Astyanax mexicanus: one gene and its partners. The protein of the gene in region 1 interacts with the protein of each later gene in a pairwise test. Links are inferred from orthologs where the notes say so. Each region holds a gene or a part of one and is shown on either strand. Other genes may lie near its edges.

Region 1 (6,841 bases):
ATTTTATTAATTTAAAAAATGTTCTACTGCAAAACATCAAAATTATACTGTTAGTATAGTGTAGTGTAGTATAGTGTAACACTTTAAACATACCGTAGAACTTACCATGAGTCTGATTTTGTGTGAAATAATAATATAACAAAATAATGTAACATACGAACAATGTAATGTACCACAATACTAAAGTGCTGAATATTTATTAATGCACATAAACTGCAAAAAAAAAAGAGTCATACAAAAAGCATTAACGCTTCACAGTATATAGAATACTTTTAGGACATAATACTACTATTATCAAAATCTAACTATTTATCTATGGGGTTTGTTAATTAATTATTTTTACAAATGTCTGTAAATGACAACTGCATGTCTAGGTATATCAAGGTACTTGCTTTTATACCCCTGAATTCAATAATTAAAAGTGTGTCCCAATAATGTTGTACTCTTGTCCATAAAGTGTATGTTTTTAATTCAAATATATGAGTGTAAATCATCGATAATCCAGTAAAAACCTTCATATCAAAAACTTCTACATAAACATTGTTTTACAATGGCATCACACAAAAACCCACCTGAAGCACCTATAGTTTTAAGAATGTAAGTCAGAGTATCTGACCAAAGTCAGAACCAGAAATAGACATCACCTCTAGTAAATGATTATTAGCTGTTATTTGTGAGAATTTAGTAAGAGATCAGTAATGCTGAGTGTTCACTAACCTTGTAGCCACATCTTTTGTAGTATTCTTCTTCCTCCTTTCGGGCTAGATCAGCACGCTTAAAGTACTTCTTTGAGCTCTAAAAAAGTAGAAGGGTAAAGTGTTATTATGACATGTTTGGGTTAGTGATAGACACAACAAAATAAACACTCAATAAATATCAGATCATTTAATATTAAAATGACTTCTGGGCATTTAAAATGGATTAAATCTGTCAACTGTTTCTATCATTTCTATCAGTTATCAAACCAACCTTGTCTAACCGTCTCTAAAAGGGCCAAAGACAGATATTAAACAAACAACCATTCTAACCAGATTTAACTAGGCCAAACCCTAACTGGATCTAATCGGGACAAACCAAGTTATCAAATCATCAAATTAGTCGACTCTCATTAGTTGCAGCCTTAATCCATAAAAACAGCTGTACATGATACAACTGTCTGAGCTCATAATCCTCCTCTCTATTACACTTGTTAATATAGTTTTAATATATTTAGTAATATGTTTAATGTAAATAAATCTAAATCCTTGCTTAACGTCCATTCTTGATTAATTTTAAACAATATAAACATTAGCTGGACTTTTTAAAGTAGCTCCTAAGGTGACCTCGTGTTGAACATAAATGTTTAATTAGATCTCGTTCTTTGGCTTTTACATCAGCTGGAAAACAACAAAATCGCCGGGTGCGTTCCAATCCGCGTTGTGTATCCACTACATAGTAGGCTACACGTATCTAGTGCATTCTAGAAAAATCGTAGGTCTAGTATGAGTTAAATCTAATCATATGTACTAGATACTGATAGCATACCAAATGCGTACTGGGACACATCATTTTATATGCGTTTTCTGAACAACTGAGTAGAACTAACGGGCTGTGAGTGGGTTTAGAACTCTAACCCTAGTGCAGTAGCTACCAAGTGTAGTTGAATCTAGTGAACAACGTAGTGTGCAGCATGCTAACGCTAGCTAGCTAATGTGCTAAATAGCAACTGGTAGCCTCTTAGTCCAGACTTTCTCGCACTCGCAGGAGTAACAATGTGAGTGTTCAGCGCTGATAGCTAACATTAATTTAAAAAGGAACCAATCAGCTAGCTAGCCAGGTTAGCTAGCTGGACAACACGCCACAGACAGATGCAGCTCAGATTGGAGCACAGCCGCCGTATGGAAAACTCCAGCGCTACCACCGTGAATAAAGAGCTTGTTTTCATCACTCACATCAACCAGCTGTTTCTCCTCCATCAGCTTCCTCTTCCTCGCGATCTCGGCTTTTAGGATATCCATGTTTATGAGCGCAGAGTAGCGGGTTTTCGCTAAACACGCTGATTTTGAATCCTACAGCTCCCAGACTGTTGTGGAAGTTGTATCCGGTGAGTTCCTGCCTGTGTTGGGGGCCGCAGAACGCGGTGGCGCTCTCTGGCGACTCCCACTGGAATTACAGACACAACCCTGCTACACGTTTTTATCATTAACACATTTTCTTTATCTGATGTACAGTTCCAGACAAAAGTTAATACACACTTAAAATACAGTTGTATTTTATTACAGCACACATTACCAATTTACAGTCAAAGGTTAGGTCTAAAATTAGCTATTTTCAGATCTGAATTATTTCCAGTAATGGAAAAAATGTAAGAATGCTGTTTTTGTCCGTTATGCACTAAAATAAATAATATTAGTAATATTCTACTATTAAATCTATATAGCAAATAAATTCTATTAACTAAAATATTTAATACTTTTTTATTTCTATTGAGCTTTTCATTTCATAAACCATCCCTGAACAGTAAACATACAATACAAAAGTTGGCATATGCTTCTTTATTTCAATTTTAAAAAGCATAGAGAGTGGAAAGCTCTTTTTAATTTTACATTTATGAATATAAAAAATAGCTAACATCCACATTAGAAGGCTTTAGTTTTCTCTTTTGAATATCTTTTGCAAACATAAATGAAAAACATTTTTGAAAAGTGATTCCAATCGATTTTCAAAAAGATTAAATATTTTTTAAAAGTGATTTGAATCGTTTGAAAAAAAAATATTTTCGAAAGATGGTTGCAATCAGTTCACATTTAAGCGCTGGTTTATGCTTGGCAGTGATTATATGCAACTGTGATTATTTGTATTTTTTTATATATATATTTCCATTTATCTTTGAAAAAAGTGACATTTGTGTGAAATCAGTGTTTATATTCTAGATGACAAAAGGATAGCAGATCTCCTGTTTTTATCACATATTAATATTTATTAGTTATAAGTCTTGGGTTCGATGTAAGGTGGTTGGATGTCTCTTTTATCAAAAAGAAAGCAGGATGGTGACGGATTACCAACAGATATTTAAACAAATAAACAAACCATATTTTTCTTTTTACTGTTGCAGTACTAGGATTTTAAATCCTAAAACATTTTAAAACTATTAAAATCTATTAACCATTTAGTTTATTATGTCAAATAGAAAGCTTATATTTATATAATTATGTTGTCCTAAATTTAAAAAGTAGCTGGAGTTTTAAAACCATTCACAGAGATACCATTATTGATTGGAGAAAGCGCAGTGCAGCGCCCTCTTTTGGTTCTGTGTGTAACTACATGCGGTTGGGTAATACATCACATGTGGTACAAACTAAGTTAAAACTGCCTGACTGGTGGTCACTTGTGGGCTGTTTTAGTAGCCTACAACAGTCGACCCAGGTATGTTGCAAGAAGATACCCCAGCTGGAGATATCAGTCTTATATGTTTCATATACTAAATGCTTCCCTGGACACACTGTGTAATTATTTATTTAAAAGACCATGATCATTATAGCTTTACAGTCTTTTTTCTATTGCCTATACAATGCATCCCATTAATCACACCAACACTGACCTGTTTAAAAAGGATAATGGAAGTGGAATTTGAATTGTGAGATGGATTAATTTGTTAGATAATCGATATCCATGTGAGGTCGAAAATGGATCAAACTTAAGAGAAAACTTAGTTTTTTTGTGTAAAAGTGGTACTTGTCCAGCAGAGTGGATCTGGACATTACTATTTGAGCCCCACAAAATATTAGCTACCATCAGGTGGCGCAAAGGACTAGATGTGACGATTTTTTTAAAGAATTAACTGATTTATTTATTTACATCACAAACGAGCGGCCCTGAATGGACGCCAGCGCGGAGAGCGCGATGCCCCGAGCTCAGACGCGCCTCTGACGGGCTTTGGGGAGCTGTGGCCGGGCAGGGAGGCGGTAGACGGGAGCTGTGGCCGCTCTGATGAGTTTTTACTGATTAAGCAGACGGACCACGGTCGGTCCCTGCAGGGCTGCTGCTGCTGCCACCGCCGCCGCCACCGCCACTGCCGCCGCCGCCACTGCTGCTGCTGATGAACAGGGCGACTCCGGTACCGCCGCGCGCGCACGGTCCGCTCTGTCTCCGGTACAATGGAGTTTGGGGAGAGGAGACGGAGCAGAAAATCTCCGAGCTTTAAACTGGTCAGCGAGCAAGGTAAGGAGGTTTAATGAGCGCAGCAGGGGCGCAGACAGCCAGCCAGCAACAAGCAGACAATAGGAGAGGGAGGGAGGGGGGGGGGGGGGGGGGGCATGAGAGAGAGAGAGTGAGAGAGAGAGCTGCACATTAACTGCATGACCACTAGCATGAAAAAAAAAACACGTCTGTGCTGAAGTGATGCTGATGCTGCTGAAGTGATGCTGATGCTGTTGCTATTGGAGATGCGCGCGCGCTTCCAAGCTTCCGTCTCCCGGGTGGTACCGGCATGTCTGACCGGTTCACCAGGAGAGATTATGATGTGACTCTCCGGACTGAGCCGTTTTAATCTCGCCGTTTTTCTTTCTCTCTCCCGGCTGCTTACAGGTGCGCACGAGACACCGAGTCGTTCTTCTGATTCGGTTCTTTTTTCTCTGAATTCCCCGAACCGATTCGAACTGAATCAACGTTTTATTGCATGTCAGAAATGAAAGGTCTGCAGAAGCATCTTATAGCAAGGAATAATACTTAAACTTATTCCGCTCCATGTATTATAGGTCATAAACTGAATAAAAAAGTGCAATTCAATATTTCTTGTTCATCTGGCATAAAAATTACATTAAGGAGAACAATTTTAAGTTTAGTTTTTTTTTTACAGAGTGCTGGTATAGGTAAAATGACAGAACCCTAAACGGTCTAAAGTAGAAAAACGAATATTTACAGACATAGTCTGATAGACTGTTCTCTATATTTCTTAAACGATTCCCTCAGTTTAGAAAGGATGATTTAGTTTAACCAAGGAAACAAGTTATTAAACAATTGATTAAACTTAGTAAATCAAGGAAATGCTTTAAGAAATCTAAATAATATTTTTATGTTTTGATACAGTATCAGTCAAACATTTGGAGTTTGGACACACTTTCTCATTCAAAGTTTGTCTTTACTTATTTATTTTCTACATTGTAGCTTAATGTTAGAGACATAAAAACAATAAGGGACACTATGGAATTATGTTGTAAAATCAAAAAAGTGTTTGGCCAACTGAGATAGGAGATTTGAGATGAGTTGGAGCTTCACAGCAGGAAAAGCAGCAGCTATTGTTTAGCACCCCCAGAAAATCCTTCAAGACACTGAGAAAACTATTCCAGGTGACTCTCCCTCATGAAGACACTGAGATTAAAATACTAAAAGTGTGCAGATCTTTTCTCTGTTCTTCTCAATTGGATGAGAACAAAAACTTCAAATCTACGGGTGAATCAATGATTCGTTGAAACATTTGCTCCATTGAAAGATTCAGTTCGAAAGAATTGGTTCAGTAAAATGAATCAAACGTTCAAGAATCTGTGTAATGAAGTTATGAAGCTTTTATGGAGATGTTCAAGCACAGTTTCATCCTTTTAGCATTTAGAGTTTCCTGAACCTGTGTATAGTGAACTAAACTTATGTTTAACATAGTAAATTAATAAAGAAACATTTCCCACAGACTATGGGCCTGGATTTGACAGCCCTGACCATGATGACACAGACAGTGAACCACTGGACATATCAGAGAATGAAGGTACTGTTCCCGATATTGCTTTTTATTTATAACTACATGCTGTTTTTACGTATATAGGGTAATTATACAGCATTTAGAACTAAACTAAACGTACACTTACACATTGTACACATTGTTTGTGTTGTAATATTATTTTACCACCTTTGTGTTAACTATTTCTCTTCCAGCCTGGCTAGGTGACGAGGGTACGGAAATTAAAAAGCAGATCACAGGTATGATGCGGCTGTTGAGTGACAAGTCTGGGCGAGGGTACCAGCGAGTAGAAAGAGAGGGGGAGGCTGTCAAAGAGGAACCCCAGGAGGAGGCTCTGAGCTGGACTTTACCTCAGAACCAAGCCCCTGAGGAACCCCAGCACTGCTGGAGCTCAGCTCCACCCATGTCCCACAGTCAGTACGACACTCGTTCCAAAACCCAGAAGATACTCAACAACTCCAAAAGCAGAGGTGAATCAGAATCACTCTGTTTCACCAGTAATGAGTAATATTACAGGCGTGGGTTACAGTTCTGACACGGAATGAGTCACAACATCTAAACATCTAAAATCTAAACATAAAAAATGTGTTGCACAAGTTTTAATCATGGGAAGTTTTCTAAAATCAACATAGGGTCCAAATTGTACATATAGGATCAAAAGATTTATAAAAAATGTATCTGAAAATTAATATGTTTACTTAAGTAATTAGTTAAGTAGACATTATTTTACAGAATGGTATTTAAATCACTATATAGACCAAATACCGCTAACAGGAATGTCTAAGACATTTGCAGAATCAGAAATCCCATTTTGGTCAGTTGGCATCTCCCAACCCGGTACATAACAGTGTGTTCATGTCCACATCTCTAGTAAACCAAGAACAAGAACGTACTGTGCTGTTATCACCAAGCTAGACACACTGAGATACAATTTACTTCTTGGGTTTGTTCAACAGAGTCTTCAGATTGAGAGATGCATACAAACAGCAGAGCATGGTGCAAAATGTGGCACCTTTGAAAATTAGATTTTAAAGCTCTTTCTCTGAGCAATATGTTTTTATTAGTTTTGTAAAACAAATACTAATAACTAATCAGCAATTCGTAAAAGCAATTTTTTTCAAGCATGGCTGC
Region 2 (7,927 bases), on another chromosome or scaffold:
GATTTACAACATAAAGCCAATTATTATGCTGTTATTATTGATTAATGCCATATATTTAATACTTGAATTAATGAAACTGAATGTATTTATTTATTAATGATTAAAGTATTACTTGTGGTATTTATGTCTATTTTGTGTTTTATTTATTTCTATTTGTGTTTGCAGTGTGGAAATGTATGTTGTGAATGTATGTTAAAAATTAAACCAATTGGTCATTCATTATTAAGTAAAATGTCTTGTTTTCTCTTGTGTTTTTTTTATTGCTTTTTAGGCAAGCAAATATGTTTTATCCGTTTACTCGAATAATCAAATCAATTTTTCAGTAGAGTACTCGATTACTAAAATAATCAATATGTTCAGCCCCAGTTATATCTGAAACACTACTTCTGATGTACCTGTCTGGATCATTTGCTTCAAACTCGTACAGTTTCCGGCTCCAGTACCGAGCCTCTCGCTCGTCTCTTTCAGACAGACCTCCCTTCTCACCAAGCCTGTCTCGTGCTGATCCTTCTGAGTCATCCATGTCTCTGTCACAGTGCATGCTGCTCCTGTGAAAGCATGGCATGTGGTCATCTAGAGAAACGGACATCAAATACAACAGCAGACACTGAAAGAAATAAGCGCTGTGGTGAGAGACGAAGCAGACGTAAACCTGGACAAATGGCTGCTGGTCATCCATCTGGGCTTGGAGGCCTGAGAAGAAGAGGACTGTTTCTCCATGTCCCGAAGCTTCCACATCTCAGACTCCTCCTGAATCTGCAGGAAGATAAAAAAAAAAAAACATTAAACATTATTTAATAGTCTGTTGTTGCAATACGTAAATTGCTATATTTTACCGTACAAGTTGTGAGATGTTATCTTGTTAGTGAGCTTTATCACTGTATTATTGTCCTATTAATTATCGTAGTTCAGGCAAAGCCTAACAGTGAGTGACAGATGGATGGGACGTTCCACTTCTGAAGTTGTGCAGACTTTTTACATCAAATAATCGTCAGATTAGTCGATTACTAAAATAGTCATTAATTGCAGCCCTATATGCATATCCCAAAGGCCAGTGCAGTGTTCTTTAACTTTCATTGGACATGGCAAATTTCATGGGACACAATACTAGAACCATGTCCCAGGACACACGGCATGTCAATGCATAATCAAATGCCAAATGATAATATAAGTGAGACTCTGAGAAATGCAAACATACCTTGTTGTGGGCATCTGTGTGTCTGATGACATTTCGGAGCAACACTTTACCCATAGGAACTCTCGACATGGTAACCCTAAAAATACAGAACAAATGACTAGTGCCAAACTACACTACATTCTGAATTTTATATAGAAAATCGGTCACTCACAGGTGATGTAACGTTGAGGTTGATTTTGTGTTAAATGCCATGCTGAATTTACCCTGCAATTCCTCTAAATCAATCACATTAATCATCAATTTATTTATTTTTTATTCTACAAAGACTACAATTTAAATTAATTTCCGCTGAGAAGCAAAAAAAAAGGAATGAATAACTAGCAAAAACTTACAAGCTCCCTGTAACAAACATCAGTCAGTAACAGATGTGTAAATATTTTAAATCTCCTACAACGCTAGAAAAATGTATATAGCTGCAGCTTTATTTACCTAACATTGCAAAACTATTAAAGAAGATACTCAAACATGCATGCAAGTTTATTTTCAGGAGATTATAGGCTACTTAAACATGTTTTAAAGAGTAACTACATAACTAAGACATTTTTTACATTAATTGTTGAAATATGTTGCTCTATATTAATATATTACACATCAGTCCCACTGATATAATAATTTTTATTATATGTTATATATGATATATATTTTACTTTGTAAAGATACTCAAAAAAATGTCCAAATAAGATAAAAAATATATTCTTTATTATTTTAATTAAAGTACTCAATGATTTTAGTACACATCTTTTAAATGATATTTTCCTGGATTCATGAAATGAAAGGCTGTGGGTTTTATTATTTAAGTGTAGTTTCAGAAGTGTTTATAGGTGTAAATAAGATAAAATCTGTAATATCCAGAATATTACAATATTACAATACTGGATGCAGCAGAATAAGCATTTCAGCTTGTTGTAATTAAGTCATATTTATCAGTGTTGTTAACAGATTTAACAGATTAATCCAAAGCAAAATTACATGGAGGCACTATTTTCTTATTTTTTAAACTTCTGTCTCTTCAGTTTTATTTCTTTAAATCCTCTAAAGATTATAAAAGCAAGTTGACTTCTACTATTTTCACTGTACAGATCACAGAAACTATACCTCAAATATGGCGGCTTGGTGACGTTTTGCATATTAAAAACACGTGACTGTCAACGAGCTGCTGTTGACTAGTATTGATCCCACTCCAAGAAACTTTACTGAATAATATTTCCAGCTCTTTATATAAAAAAATAAAAGACAGAAGACTCAACAGCTCTGTTTCATTTTCTCTTCATTTACTCTTAACAGATTTTCAATAAACTAGCTTTCTATCTATCTAGGTTAGGTAGACAACTGTTATATAGAAGCTAAATCTAATTAAACTAATGCTAGCTAGCTATCAAAGTGTGCAGAACGAACAGGACCTTTAATACTGTCTTTTTAACTGTAAAACTAGCAAATACACTTATTAAATAACCAGGTTTAAAGCTAGATGACTTATATAATTTGAAGCTCTTTGTTTACTATTACAGTACTGCAGTATTGAGCAGATCTGACAGTGCTAAGCTAAGTTAGCCTGTTAGCCCACACTATTTCTACCTCTACTGCTAAACCAGCAGCTCGTTAAGCTTTAATTTACACCGAAATCAATATTAAAACACCCAGTTACACAGATACACACCGCCACATACACATTATAAACCTGCCTGCGGGTTTATATTACCTTTAAAACCGGTTCAGTAGTGTGAACGTGGCGTCTTCCTCTCTCTCCTCACAACAACCCACAGCTCTTCTTCTACTGCTCTCCTCCCCCAATCACAGACTCTATACTGCCACCTACTGACACCTACTGGAACCTACTGGCTACTACAGACATAACACACAATATGATTTTTTGTGGCCGATATATCATCCCAATTATTATTGCGATAAACAATATTATTGTAATTTTAAGACCAGTTAACTTCCACTGATATAATGATAATATAATTGCATAAAAAATAAAAACATTTATCCTGTGTAACAGAGGTAACTCTTGGTCTTCCTTGTGTCATTCCTTGTGAGTGCCAGTTTCATCATAATGTTTTTGGTGATCTTTGTGACTGCACTTGAGGATATTTTCAAATTTCTTGAAATTTCAGACTTTTTCTATAATTTACTTATATTTATATTTTCCTTATTACAATCACAGAGCACTGAAAAACTTTTAATTTACCAATGTACTAATTTAATTTACTTTCTAAAAAGTTACATGATTCACTGTACTTTAAGTAAATTACTGTACCAGTTGTTTTTTTTAACACACTTTGCTAAAAATGTACAAAACTATATTTGGACATAAGTATTTTAGAATTACATTAAACTAAAGGTGTACTTTATAGTAGTCTATTTATTCAAATAAATGCTTTCAAGCATTTGATGAAAGCATAACATTGACATACTTTTAATATATTTTAAGTAAGTACATAAATCTGTAAGTATATTTACAGCATTCTTAGACATTTCTCAATATGTTTTAGGTACAATTAAGGAGGTATTTTTTATTCACCAGGGCAGTCTAAGCATTAATCTGAATGTACCGTTCAGTTAAGGAGAGCAAATGTCTTAAAACTGTGAGAATATGTTGATTGTTGTTGATGAAACAATATCAAAATCTTTGAAGGGTGATTTTTGCTAATGCGTTTGTATGAAACATGAGAAAATAACCTGTAATCATTCTGTTAGCAAGAAAACATACAAACCATAAAAAACAGCTAATGTAAAAAAATGTAACATAAAACTGGAAAAAAGGGACAAATTACAATTTAAATCATAGCAAAGATATTAAAATGTGATAATGTGTTAATGTGTTTGTTGTAGGACATAACTAATATATAATTAGGATTATGCAAATATTACTAAAAGCTGGATAAATATATATTTTAAGTTTTTGCCATAATATGGATAAAATAGATGCCTCAAACCTGGACTTAAAGACTTAAAGATCCAGCTCAAGACCAGCTGATCATCCAGAAAACGTTAGTAAACGAGTAAACCAACCAGCAAAGGATTTGTTTTTTTCTGGATGACCAGCTGGCTGGCCTTGAACTGGATTTTTTTTAGCAGGATTTATTTAGCAGCTTCTAGTTTGGCATATCTTTTTGACTGTAGCCTGTACCAACTAGCTAAGGATATTTGCAAAGTAAAAAATAAGTACTTTTCTAAGTCGCTCTGGGTAAGGGAGTTTGATAAATGCCTTAAATGTAAAGTTAAACGTAATGCCTTCTATAGTTGTGGTCTCTAGTATTAATGAATGCCATGTGAGCTGTTCTTTTGGTGTTTCTATTTAGCCCTGGTTTAGACACTGAAACAGGTTTTGGCTCTTGCTCATGAATATTCATGCATGCAAATACATTGCCTCTGATTGGCTAACTGCACTGCAGCAGAGAACGCCTTCCTGCCTCCCCAACAGTCAATTTTACAGCTCTAAAACTCAAAGGAGAAAATGTTTTCAGAGATACAGGCTTTTCTTTTCTTCAAAAAGTGGATTTTGGTGGGAAGAGACCTTTAAACTGCACAGAAATTCACTAGTACAGAACACAGGACCTTCTTTCTGTATTTACCTTCTTGCTTCCTTGCACATGGAAATAATAAATAACTTTATTAATTCACAATCAGAAAGCTCACATCACAAAACACAAGCTGTGGCTGAAACCGTGCCCTGTTCACCAATTCACCAATACACAAGTCCAGGTAATTATAAAGAGCACTATTATAACAAGGAACAGAACTTAACAAAGCATTAAATATACAGTACCTGTTGAAATCAGGAGGGGGAGCTCTTGTTACAAAGATACTGTCGCACACAGGTGACAGACTTTTTTTCTCTAATCGCGTGAGAAGGAGAGAGAGAAAACAGAGAGGGTTCTGATTGGCCTGTTCTCTGCAAAGAGTCTGTGAGACAGCCAATCAGTTTTTAGTGTGGGCGGGCAGTGTTTTTCCCCCCCTCCCGGACGGGATTTGTTCAGTGAGTGAGAGAAAGCAGATCATGGCGGAGGCAATATTAATAATTATTCTAATATGATATGAAATATTTTTGATGTTGTGCAGTTTTTTTGTGATATTGTAACTGTCAATTTTTGTCAAATAAAGGCTTTTTTTCCAAAGAAAAAAAAAAGGAAAGCAGAGGCAGGGCCTTCCAAAAAGAAAAAAGATAAATCTCATTTCACCTCTGAATACTCTAAATTTAATTTAGTAAAATTAATTAATATAAAAGTAAAGTTTCGTTATCCTTTGGTGTGTGTGCAAGTTTTTTTGTTTTGTTTTTTTGGGGTGGTGGTGGTGGGGGGGGGGGTAACCTCCCTGAAATCAACTTTTGCAATTTGGGATGTCTTTTAAGACATCTTAAAATATGCACAGTATCTATATTCACCTTTTCGTACGATATATCTCAAGATGTATTATCAGGCTGTGATAAGTGTGTCTCCATCACAAGGCATGGTGATTTCTGGGAATGTGAGTGTGAGGGAGTGGGAGAGCGACTAAAACAACACAGTTATTTTATTTAATACTCTAAATCCATAAAATCCCACAGCACCTTTTAACTAAAGAGAAAGCTATTCATGGAAAATATTTAACTTAGATTTATTTAACTCTGAGATTTAACTCAGACTGTATCTGTCTCCTAACACTGACTAGAAAAAATTCCAGATCTAGGGGACTTTTATGAAAAATCCATCACCTTATTGTATGATAAAGAGGAGAGTTGAAGATCAGACTTAAGATAAAAGATCCGTCCTGAAGAATGCAGCCCAAGCCTGGCAGACCACCAGCGTCATATTCAGCAAATTGGAGATTTCTGCGTGTGGAAACTGGCCGTGCAAAAGACAAAAACATTACTTTCAGTTTTAGAGATGGAAAGAATATGTGGGTAAATATAAAATATTAATTTAATTAATTAAATGATTCATTCTTTGTTGTTTTAGATAATTCATCTTAAAGTGATTTGTAAAAAGGAAGTATACTTAAGAGCATTAAAAATATATTCAAATTAGGTAAAGAATACTAAAAGTGCATTTTCAATGTAATATACTTTCTCTGTATTTCCATAAAATGTATTTCTAAGGAAATTGCTTTGTGTTGATAGAAAATATATATAGTGGCATTAAATACTGCTTAAAATGCACTTTTTTCCCAGTAGCATTAACGTGCACACATTAAAGTGCATCAGAAGCAGAAGTTATACCAAAAAAGCACAATCAAATGCTTTTATGTTGTGTTTAAATACATCTTAATTACAACTGAAATATACTTACAGTTAGTTGCCATAAGTTTTTCTAAAATAGCAGATTTAGTATGTATTTAAGTGAATATATAAAAAGTATATACTTTTCTATGTGTCACATCCTGGTCTCGTCTCGTGTCTCTGTGTGTCTTCCCCACGTGACCTGTGCTCCTCTGTGTCTCCCGTCTCAGTACTTTTCCACCTGTTTCTCATTTGTTGCTCCGCCCCTTCCCCAGGTGTTTCTAATTATAGTGTTTCCTGTTTCTTTAAATAGCCCTCCACTGCCACTTTGTCTCCGTTGGTCTTTGCACCTTCCCCTGTTGTTTTGTCTCTCTGTTGTTTCACCGCGTTTCATAGCCCAAGTCCTTGCTCTGTGTTTACCTCTGTTTATCTCGTGTATATTTCTGGTTTCCTGTTTATTTCCATTGTTTTCTCCCTTGCCCTGCTTAGTTTAGTTCTCCTTGTCTAGTTTAGTTTCTTGTTTAGCTCTATGTTCCCTGTATATAACCTTAGTCATTTGTTTCTCGTTTATTTCTTGTTTTCACGTTTATAGTTTATTTCCTTATTTATTTTCTAGATTATATCATCGCTCGTTTGTTATTGGTTATTTGTGTTTCTTTGTTTCATGTTTACTTGTTCCTCGTTTCCTTGTTTCTTTGTTATTTATTTAATAAATTATTTATTTATTTCGCCCTTACCTGCACTTGTGTCCGCTTTCCTCGTCACCCTGCCTGGGTCACCCCCATTTCCGTGACACTATGTTAAGTATACTTTTAAAATATACTTTTCTTTTCCTTTTTTTAACTAGTAGTAGTAATTTAATTTGCTTTCTAAAAAGTCACATGATACATTGTATTAAGTATTAACTACTGTAACAGATGTTTTTAACAAACTTTGCTAAAAATGTACAAAAGTATATTTGGAAATAAGTATTTAAGAAGTATATTGAATTACATTAAACTAAAAGTGCACTTCATATTAGTCTATTTTATTTTAAATACATATTGTTATATTGTACTTTTTAAAAAGTATGATCGAAGTTTTTTTTTTTTCGCACATTTGATGAAAGCATAATAATAATGTACTTTTAATATATTTTAAATAAGTACATAATATGTTTTTTCAATATGTTTAAAGTACAATTAAGTATATATTTTCTTTACCAGGGTGTACACAATAAATTCATTGTCTCAGGGAAAAAGTGAGTATTTGTACTTTTTCAAAGCCTACCTGAATTAAAGTAAAGAGTGTACGGATGAATGCAGAAACTGCAATATATAACAGTTGTAACAAGCAAGTTATAACATGTGGGTACTGAGGACATCTGAGGACATAGTTTTAGTCTCTCTGTCCTCAATCCACATCCCTTCAAACCTCACTGCTTCTTAAAAAACGCTTGCATTTTGGACGAACCCAATCATTACTCACAATCTCTTATTTTTTTATTTATTTTTTGCTGGCAGATGGTAAAGAACAAGGAGCCCTCTGAT
Region 3 (7,729 bases), on another chromosome or scaffold:
ATCAGATTATTCTTGCACATTAGATCTTATTATTATCTCATTATTGTGATCAGAAAGTCATTAAAGCATCTCGTTTCTATTTGTATCATGTATGTGACAGTATGCTATACATTTATTTTCTTGCCCAATTTTCAAGTACAATAAATAAATAAGTTTGCTGTACAGTATTTAGCTTATTAAAACTTACTAAATCAAAACATAACACAACCTAACAACTTCAACCAACAAGTTTCCAATTTTTTAAATATAGGACTATAGAGACCTTATGGTGGTGTGGCATAACATCACCACCCTCCCTGTGACTGAAATGTGGGGTTTGATTCCTAGGCTGGACATGCACACCGCTACACCAACATAACATTTCAACATCATCATCACCATGCGGGTATGCACAGTAGTCATATCACAGTATGTGCAATGTCATGTAAGGCAAAATGAAATACATTTTTGCAGCTTAATAAGTGAAACATTCATACTGTAGTGGTTTTATGGTATATACACTATAATGACAAAAGTATTTACCGGTACTTGCCTGCCTTCGCATGTATATGAATTTTAGTGACATCCCTTTGTTAATCCAGAGGGTTTAATATGATGTTGGCCCACACTGTGCAGCTATAACAGCTTTAGATCTTTTAGGAAGGCTTTTCACAAGGTTTAGGAGTGTGTTTACGGGATTTTTTGATCATTCTTCCAGAAGAGCATTTGGAAGGTCAGACACTGATGTTGGATGAGAAGGCCTGACTCGCAGTCTCCACACTTCATTCGAAAGATATTTTATCGGTTTGAGATCAGGACTCTATAGGCCAGTCAAGTTCTTCCACACCAAACTCAATCATCCATGTCTTGACATTGCTTTGTGCATTGCTGTGCAGTAGGGCTGAAACTAATGACTATTTTACTAGTCGACTAATCTGACGATTATTTTTTCGATTAGTTGATTAGTCGCAATTATTTTGCCATGCCCTTTTTTGTACTTCTTACTGGAGAGCCTCTTTTTTAACTTTAGATTTACTTTTTTCAAAGAGCACACTGAACTTTTTGTGTCTCTTCTTTTTGGGATACTTTAACTGTGGAAGAAAACTGTTATTTGAAAAGGCTGTTGTTTACAATGAATCTGTGTAATATAACTTGCCTTTCAGTTGTTGATGATTTGGGCACCCCTATTAATCTTAATCATTTTTAGTTCTAAAGTTTGCAACAGCCATTTCAGTTTGATATATATAAGAACTGATGGACACAGTAATATTATATTATATAATAATATAGGATTGAAATTAGGTTTATTGTACTAACAGAAAATGTGCAATATGCATTAAACCAAAATTTGACCGGTGCAAAAGTATGGGCACCCTTATCATTTTATTGATTTGAATACTCCTAACTACTTTTTACTGACTTACTGAAGTACAATATTGGTTTGGTAACCTCATTGAGCTTTTAACTTCATAGCCAGGTGAATCCAATCATGAGAAAAGGTATTTAAGGTGGCCAATTGCAAGTTGTTCTCCTATTTGAATCTCCTCTGAAGATTGGCATCATGGGCTCATCAAAACAGCTCTCAAATGATCTAAAAACAAAGATTGTTCAACATAGTTGTTCAGGGGAAGTATACAAAAAGTTGTCTCAGAGATTTAACCTGTCAGTTTCCACTGTGAGGAACATAGTAAGGAAATGGAAGACCATAGGGACAGTTCTTGGTAAGAACTGTGTCCATCAGAACGGTGTCCATCAGTTATTAGATATATCAAACTGAAATGGCTTTTGCAAACACCCAAATATTTAGAACTAAAAATGATTAAGATTAATAGGGGTGCCCAAACTTTTTCATATGACTGTAACTACCAGAGTGCTTCTCCACTCTTCCTTTGGACTCTGGTCCCTTGATTTCCAAATGGAATGCTAAATTTACTAATGGTGAGTAATGTAGCTTTGTCTCAGAAGTGTCTTTGTGTTATTACCTTATGGGATTCAATAAAATCAAGATATATATTGTATATCGTCATTCACTGAAAAAATATTGAGGTATTATTTTTGGTCCAATTTGCTGAGCCCTAATTGAAATACAATTTTTGCATAAGATGTTGTTGTGGGTAAAAGATGTAATCACAAAATATATATTTTGTGAGTGTTTATTTTGAATATGGTTATAAGCTCTGTGTTGTGTGGGGGATGCTTATTGTTTAGCCAATGCAAAAAACAAGACTAGTAACTAAAGTACTAAAGCAAATCGTGTGTGTGTGTGTGTTTAGAATTTTATAAATAAGATAAAACACAAGGTACACACGTACACACACACACACACATAAAAAAAATCCACACAAAAACACAAACTGCTGCTTCATTCGCCTGGCACGGATAACTACGTCCTCCAAGCAGCCATGAGCTCAACACAAGCAGCTGTTCTTCACCTTTACAAAACAGCCCGGTTCTCAGGGCTGAACTGCGCTGTGAATTTGATTGAATACGCCACATTCAGACTACATGGTCACAAAAATAAAGATAAAGCCAATATAGCTATATATCTATACAAAGTACCTACAGCACAGCCACTGGGAATATAACGTAAGTTAGCTAATTCTGACTCAACCAACATCACTGCTTCAACCATAATGTTAAATATGGATAATTACAGTGTTTTAGATCAATTATACATCAACAATATTCACATAAAACCTCATAAACCTTTCTCAGCTCAGTCTGAACATAGCCGAGGCCATTTAACTAACGTTACCCCTCTCTCTCTCACCGTTACCTATTACACAGAGACTCAGCTAGCCTAGCTAAATAAACATGAAAACGCATTAAAACACACAATGACATCCATATTAATCCAGGTGGAGCGTTAAATACAGCCTTTACCTCCTCAGCGCGTCCAGGATAAAGGCTGAAATGTGTTCATTTTCCGTCTAAATGAAAATCTCCCGATCTCCTGAGGATCTCACTGCGCTAGCCAGCAGGCTAACAGAGACTAGCACAGAGAGCACAGAGCAGAGCCAGGCAGCTCCGCCTCCCCCCCACAACAACAATCCCACACTATTCATTATTTATTTTCCTTTACTTATTTTATTATTTTATTTCGTGACTAATGAATACAAATAAAAAATAAATAAAAGAACTACAACATTATTTTTAATTTATAAATGTATTTACTGATTTATTTAATTACTTAATTAATTAATGTAAATACAAATTACACTACAATACAATCAATAACATATTATGTGTACACGATTAGCAGTTATGCACATATAATGTTAACGACATCCCAATAAAAATAACTACAAAATATTACAAACAACAATTTTTTTTATAATTAATGAATGTATATATTTATATATTTAATTAAATAATGTAAATACAAATTACAAAATAATGCAATATAATATAATATATATACTGCACACTGTTATTTAGCTATGATAGTTAACTATATATATATTTGATTAAATAGTGTACATTCTAATTACATTACAATGCAATCAGGGATATTTCCATATTTTGTACAAATTACATTAAATAAATATATATATATATATTTGTAAATAAATAAATTAATATACGTATGTATGTATGTATGTGTGTATCTAAATACAAACTACATTAAAATACAGTCAATTACATTTACATATTTACGATTAACAGTTATTTACATTTAATGTTTCTGTCCAAATGTCCAAGAACATCCAAACTAGACATGAACTCCAAAACTAATGTCATAAAACTAAATATAATGAAATTCAACCAAACAAATGACTTAAACAAAACAACATTTACAGGATAGTATAATAATAAATAAATCAATCCTAAATAATTCTTAGACAATATATAAGTAATAACAATATATACCTTTAGAATTACTAAAGTGAAGTTTAAAGACATTTCATGGTTAAACAAATATATGTTCTAGATTTGCTAGTAAGTAATCAAGCTGTATCAAATATGATAACAAAAAGGTAAAAGTAATATATGCAAAGTTTGAATTTTCATGCTGCTGCTGTTGTTTAGGTAGGAACACAAATCTGAGTGGGAACGAGTTTTCGCGGGGCAGGTTTGCGGAGTGAAGCGGGCGGAGGGTTAGTACAGTTAGTAACACCAGCAGCAGTAGCGGCTTTAGTTACACAGTTAGCTGTGAGATAATTAGTATAAAGGTGATCATGCCAGCGGGGAGAAGCTTCCGAAGAAGAAAAGAAGAGTCTTCAGATGAAGAGGAATCCAACGAGGTCACATCTGAAGTCAGGTGGGCTATCGGCTGGATCTACACTGTAAACAAACGTTTGGTTAACGTTAGCTCGAGAACTAGCGAGTTAACTAACTTAAGCTAGGGTAGCTAACCTAGCATAAAAAGCTAACAACAATTCTTAACTGTAGATAGAGCTGCGTTTTGCTGACTCTTTGGGAATATTAAGTACAGATCGGCATTATATAGCTAAAATATATTTTGTAATTTAAGAGTATTTAAGATGTCTAAGTTAAACTAGCTTCCTGCTATCTAGTAAATCTAAAAGCTAAATGTGGTACTTAGAAGAATCTAAAGTATAAAACATATTGTGTTTGTTTATAAAATTAACTTCTTTTTACAAAATAATTCAGCCTATGTTTATGTGTAACTTAAATATCTTTAATATTAAACTTACAATGTAGTGGGCCAAATATAGGGCTACAGGTCACTGTGCTGTTTGGTGACATGGTGTGTACCACACAACATGGACCAGAGAAAGCGAAGGAAAGAGTTTCTCTCAGGAAATAAAAATATATATATATACATATACAGAAGCATGTTAAATGTTTTGGACGTGGGATATACTATGGACAGAAAAAAAAAAATTTGCCAAGGCACATTAGCTCTTTGTTTAAAATGGACAAATGAAGCATATCAAGAAAAGACTGTCCCTACTGTGAAACATGGTGGAGGCTCTGTTATGTTCTGGGGCTTCTTTGCTGCATCTGGCACAAGGTGTCTTGATTCTGTGCGGGGTACAATAAAATTTAAAGACTATCAAAAGATTATAGAGAGAAATATGCTGCCCAGTGTCAGAAAGCTTGGTCTTAGTCGCAGGTCATGGGTCTTGCAACAGGACAATGACCCAGGACAATAAAATATAATAAGTGTTTTTTTAAGTAATGGATGAAGTTAAGAAATGGCACATTTTCCTTTCTAAAAATCTATAATATTACAAAAATTCTAGTTTTATAAAGCAGTAACAATGTTTTTAGTTACTAAAACCCTAGATAGATTATATGGTTATTAATATGTAAGTCTGATACTATTACTGTTAAACATGTTATAAATCATATCTCAAATTCGAAATTCTACTGCATGTACATACCTTGAACTTGTTACGGCGCATGGTTAAGATTGCATTTCAGGCTAAAATGTCTTCTGGCAGAGTACCGGATGTAGCTTTAGCTACTCATCTTCACTGAGTAAAATGGGACAGGAGAAGTGGTGTACATTTAATGGATTATGTTGTTCAGCAGTGTCAGCAAGCACCCTAGATTTAGGCTCACCTGAGAGAGTACCCTTAGGAAAGAATGCTGACAGTCAGAGTCACGCTGTTGGGTTTAAAGCTTCCTTTAAAATCTGCTACTCTATATCTGAAGAGTCTGCAGTCTGAGCTAATCTTGTGCTTACGACTAAATCCGCAGGGCGAAACTGGATGAAGCAAAAGAACTTCAGAGTTTGCGGAAGAGACAGAGTGGCGTGAGGTATGCAAGTGTTTAAGATAACCTTTATCTACTATTAATTGTTTGTGATTGTCGTTATTGTTTGATATTATGACTACAGTGGGAACCTAGCTTTCTAGACCATGTTTTATATCCTTCTCCACAGTTTGACAGCATTGCTTGTGGGAGAAAAGTTACCGCTGGAAGCAGAGGTTGAGGTAAGCTTGCATGTGCATTTTTACATGTGTAAATTATGGATTTACAGACTTTAGACTTTAGTTGCGAATGTGGCAGTGTTTGAAACAAATAGAGTATCCCAACACCTGTTGTGTTGAAATAAAGACTCAAATCAAAGCCCAAGCCTCTCAAATGCCTGAAAGTGCCTTAAAGTGCCTTAAAGAACTGCAGCAGAACATCTCAGTTCATCAATATCGATTGTCATCCACAGTAGCATCTTTGATGGGTAAGAACAGTTAGTTCTCACAGTTAATGTGTTAAAACCAGAAGGAAATGAGAAGGCTAAGGATCTGAGCCACTTTCACTAAGATCTTTAGGGTTCACTATGGTAGTTGTGCTGGCTAGATGACTGGGTTTAAACATCTCAAAAACCTCAGATTTTATAGTATGCAGTGGCCATTACATTGCAGACATCCAGAGAGCTGGCAACAGGGTCATAGACACGTAAGGTTCATTGATGTGATTGATGGAGGTTCCACCTCAGAGCATCTAAGGTTGTGTGGAGTTGTTAGTTATTGTTATGGCAGATCTGTTTATATCAAGTTATTTTTATTAGAAACATTTTAAATATTTATTAGAATCTTTTAACATTGTAGGAGTACAATTTTTGAACAAAATCCTGTAATTGTGTATTGTAATGTAAATGTTCTCCCAGAGACCTTATCTTTTAGCCACATGTTTTAGCTAACATGCTAGTGGTTACAATACAATGTGTAATGCTGCTTGATTTTTATAGTATTTATTCATGTTCTATTACATAGCTAGTATACATAAATAAATTTTATACTGAATGCGGAATTGATTAAATGTACAGAAGTTTATTGGAAACTAATGTTGTTAATCTTCTTTATTCTAGGATGATCCATTTAAGCTCAAGACAGGAGGTGTTGTGGACATGAAGAAAGTGAAAGACAGAAACAGAGACAAGTAAGTCTAAAATGTATCAAAAATAGTATCAAATAGCCTGTCTTGGTTAGTAGATTTTATTACTGTGAACATATGTGTGTGCACAAGATTATATATATATAATTTATCCTATGTATGCATTCCAGAATTGAGGATGAAAATGACCTGAACCTGGGAACCTCCTTCTCTGCAGAGACCAACAGAAGAGATGAAGATGCAGATATGTATGTATGCACACCTGTATATGCATTATATCACATCTAATGCTTTCTTCATTGTTTGTTTCTTTGTCAAACACATTGCTTGTTTCCCTGCCATTCAGGATGAAGTACATTGAAACAGAGCTGAAGAAAAAGAAGGGTTTAGTGGAGGCAGAAGAGCAGAAGATCAAGGCAAAGAATGCAGAGGACCTCCTGTATGAGCTGCCAGAGAGCATCCGTGTTAATTCTGCCAAAAAAACAGAAGAGATGTTGTCCAATCAGATGCTTAGTGGCATTCCAGAGGTGGACTTGGGAATTGAGTAAGTGCAAATGAATGGTTTCCTATTTTAAGGACTTAATTGATCTGGAAAAAAGAATAAAAAAAAGCTAAATATTTTATAGTAAAATGATCCAACATTACATATTTGTTGAAAAAGTTTGGCAACCTTTAAGAGTAAAAAGTATAATATAACTGAAATGGTTACAAGGTTTGTTACAAGAACATAAACGTTGGTCCTCACTCTCATTCAAGTCTTGATTTTGGAAGTGTATCATGCATCAAACAGAGAACATTCCTGCACACACAGAAAAAAGAGTTTTTGAAGCACATCAAGCTAGAAGAGGTGAAAAAACAACTGCTGAAATGTCTCTCCTTCTAAAGCAGATAATCTACAGATTAAGAACATTCAGCACCACGGTTCCCATCACAAAGAACATCA

The links. The genes of interacting proteins can lie anywhere in the genome.
Region 2: the proteins of bend7 (region 1) and nkapd1 interact in binary tests that used the Homo sapiens proteins (3 or more experiments, as listed by UniProt). The two-hybrid records come from large-scale screens. The link is inferred for Astyanax mexicanus from reciprocal best matches to the Homo sapiens genes BEND7 and NKAPD1.
Region 3: the proteins of bend7 (region 1) and usp20 interact in binary tests that used the Homo sapiens proteins (3 or more experiments, as listed by UniProt). The two-hybrid records come from large-scale screens. The link is inferred for Astyanax mexicanus from reciprocal best matches to the Homo sapiens genes BEND7 and USP20.

The regions. Positions count from the first base shown.
Region 1 is NC_064416.1:15,392,794-15,399,634, reverse strand, and holds the start of bend7 (BEN domain-containing protein 7), read left to right. Parts: upstream 1-3,822; 5' UTR 3,823-4,136; coding exon 4,137-4,200; intron 4,201-5,662; coding exon 5,663-5,737; intron 5,738-5,904; coding exon 5,905-6,180; intron 6,181-6,841. Other genes in the region: prpf18 (pre-mRNA-splicing factor 18), read right to left, coding at 718-795, 1,932-1,997.
Region 2 is NC_064425.1:3,339,478-3,347,404, forward strand, and holds the start of nkapd1 (NKAP domain containing 1), read right to left. Parts: upstream 3,006-7,927; 5' UTR 2,898-3,005; intron 1,275-2,897; 5' UTR 1,268-1,274; coding exon 1,199-1,267; intron 757-1,198; coding exon 653-756; intron 549-652; coding exon 396-548; intron 1-395.
Region 3 is NC_064408.1:16,875,294-16,883,022, forward strand, and holds the start of usp20 (ubiquitin carboxyl-terminal hydrolase 20), read right to left. Parts: upstream 3,006-7,729; 5' UTR 2,863-3,005; intron 1-2,862. Other genes in the region: c1h9orf78 (telomere length and silencing protein 1 homolog), read left to right, coding at 4,158-4,240, 5,650-5,709, 5,834-5,885, 6,761-6,831, 6,957-7,034, 7,133-7,330.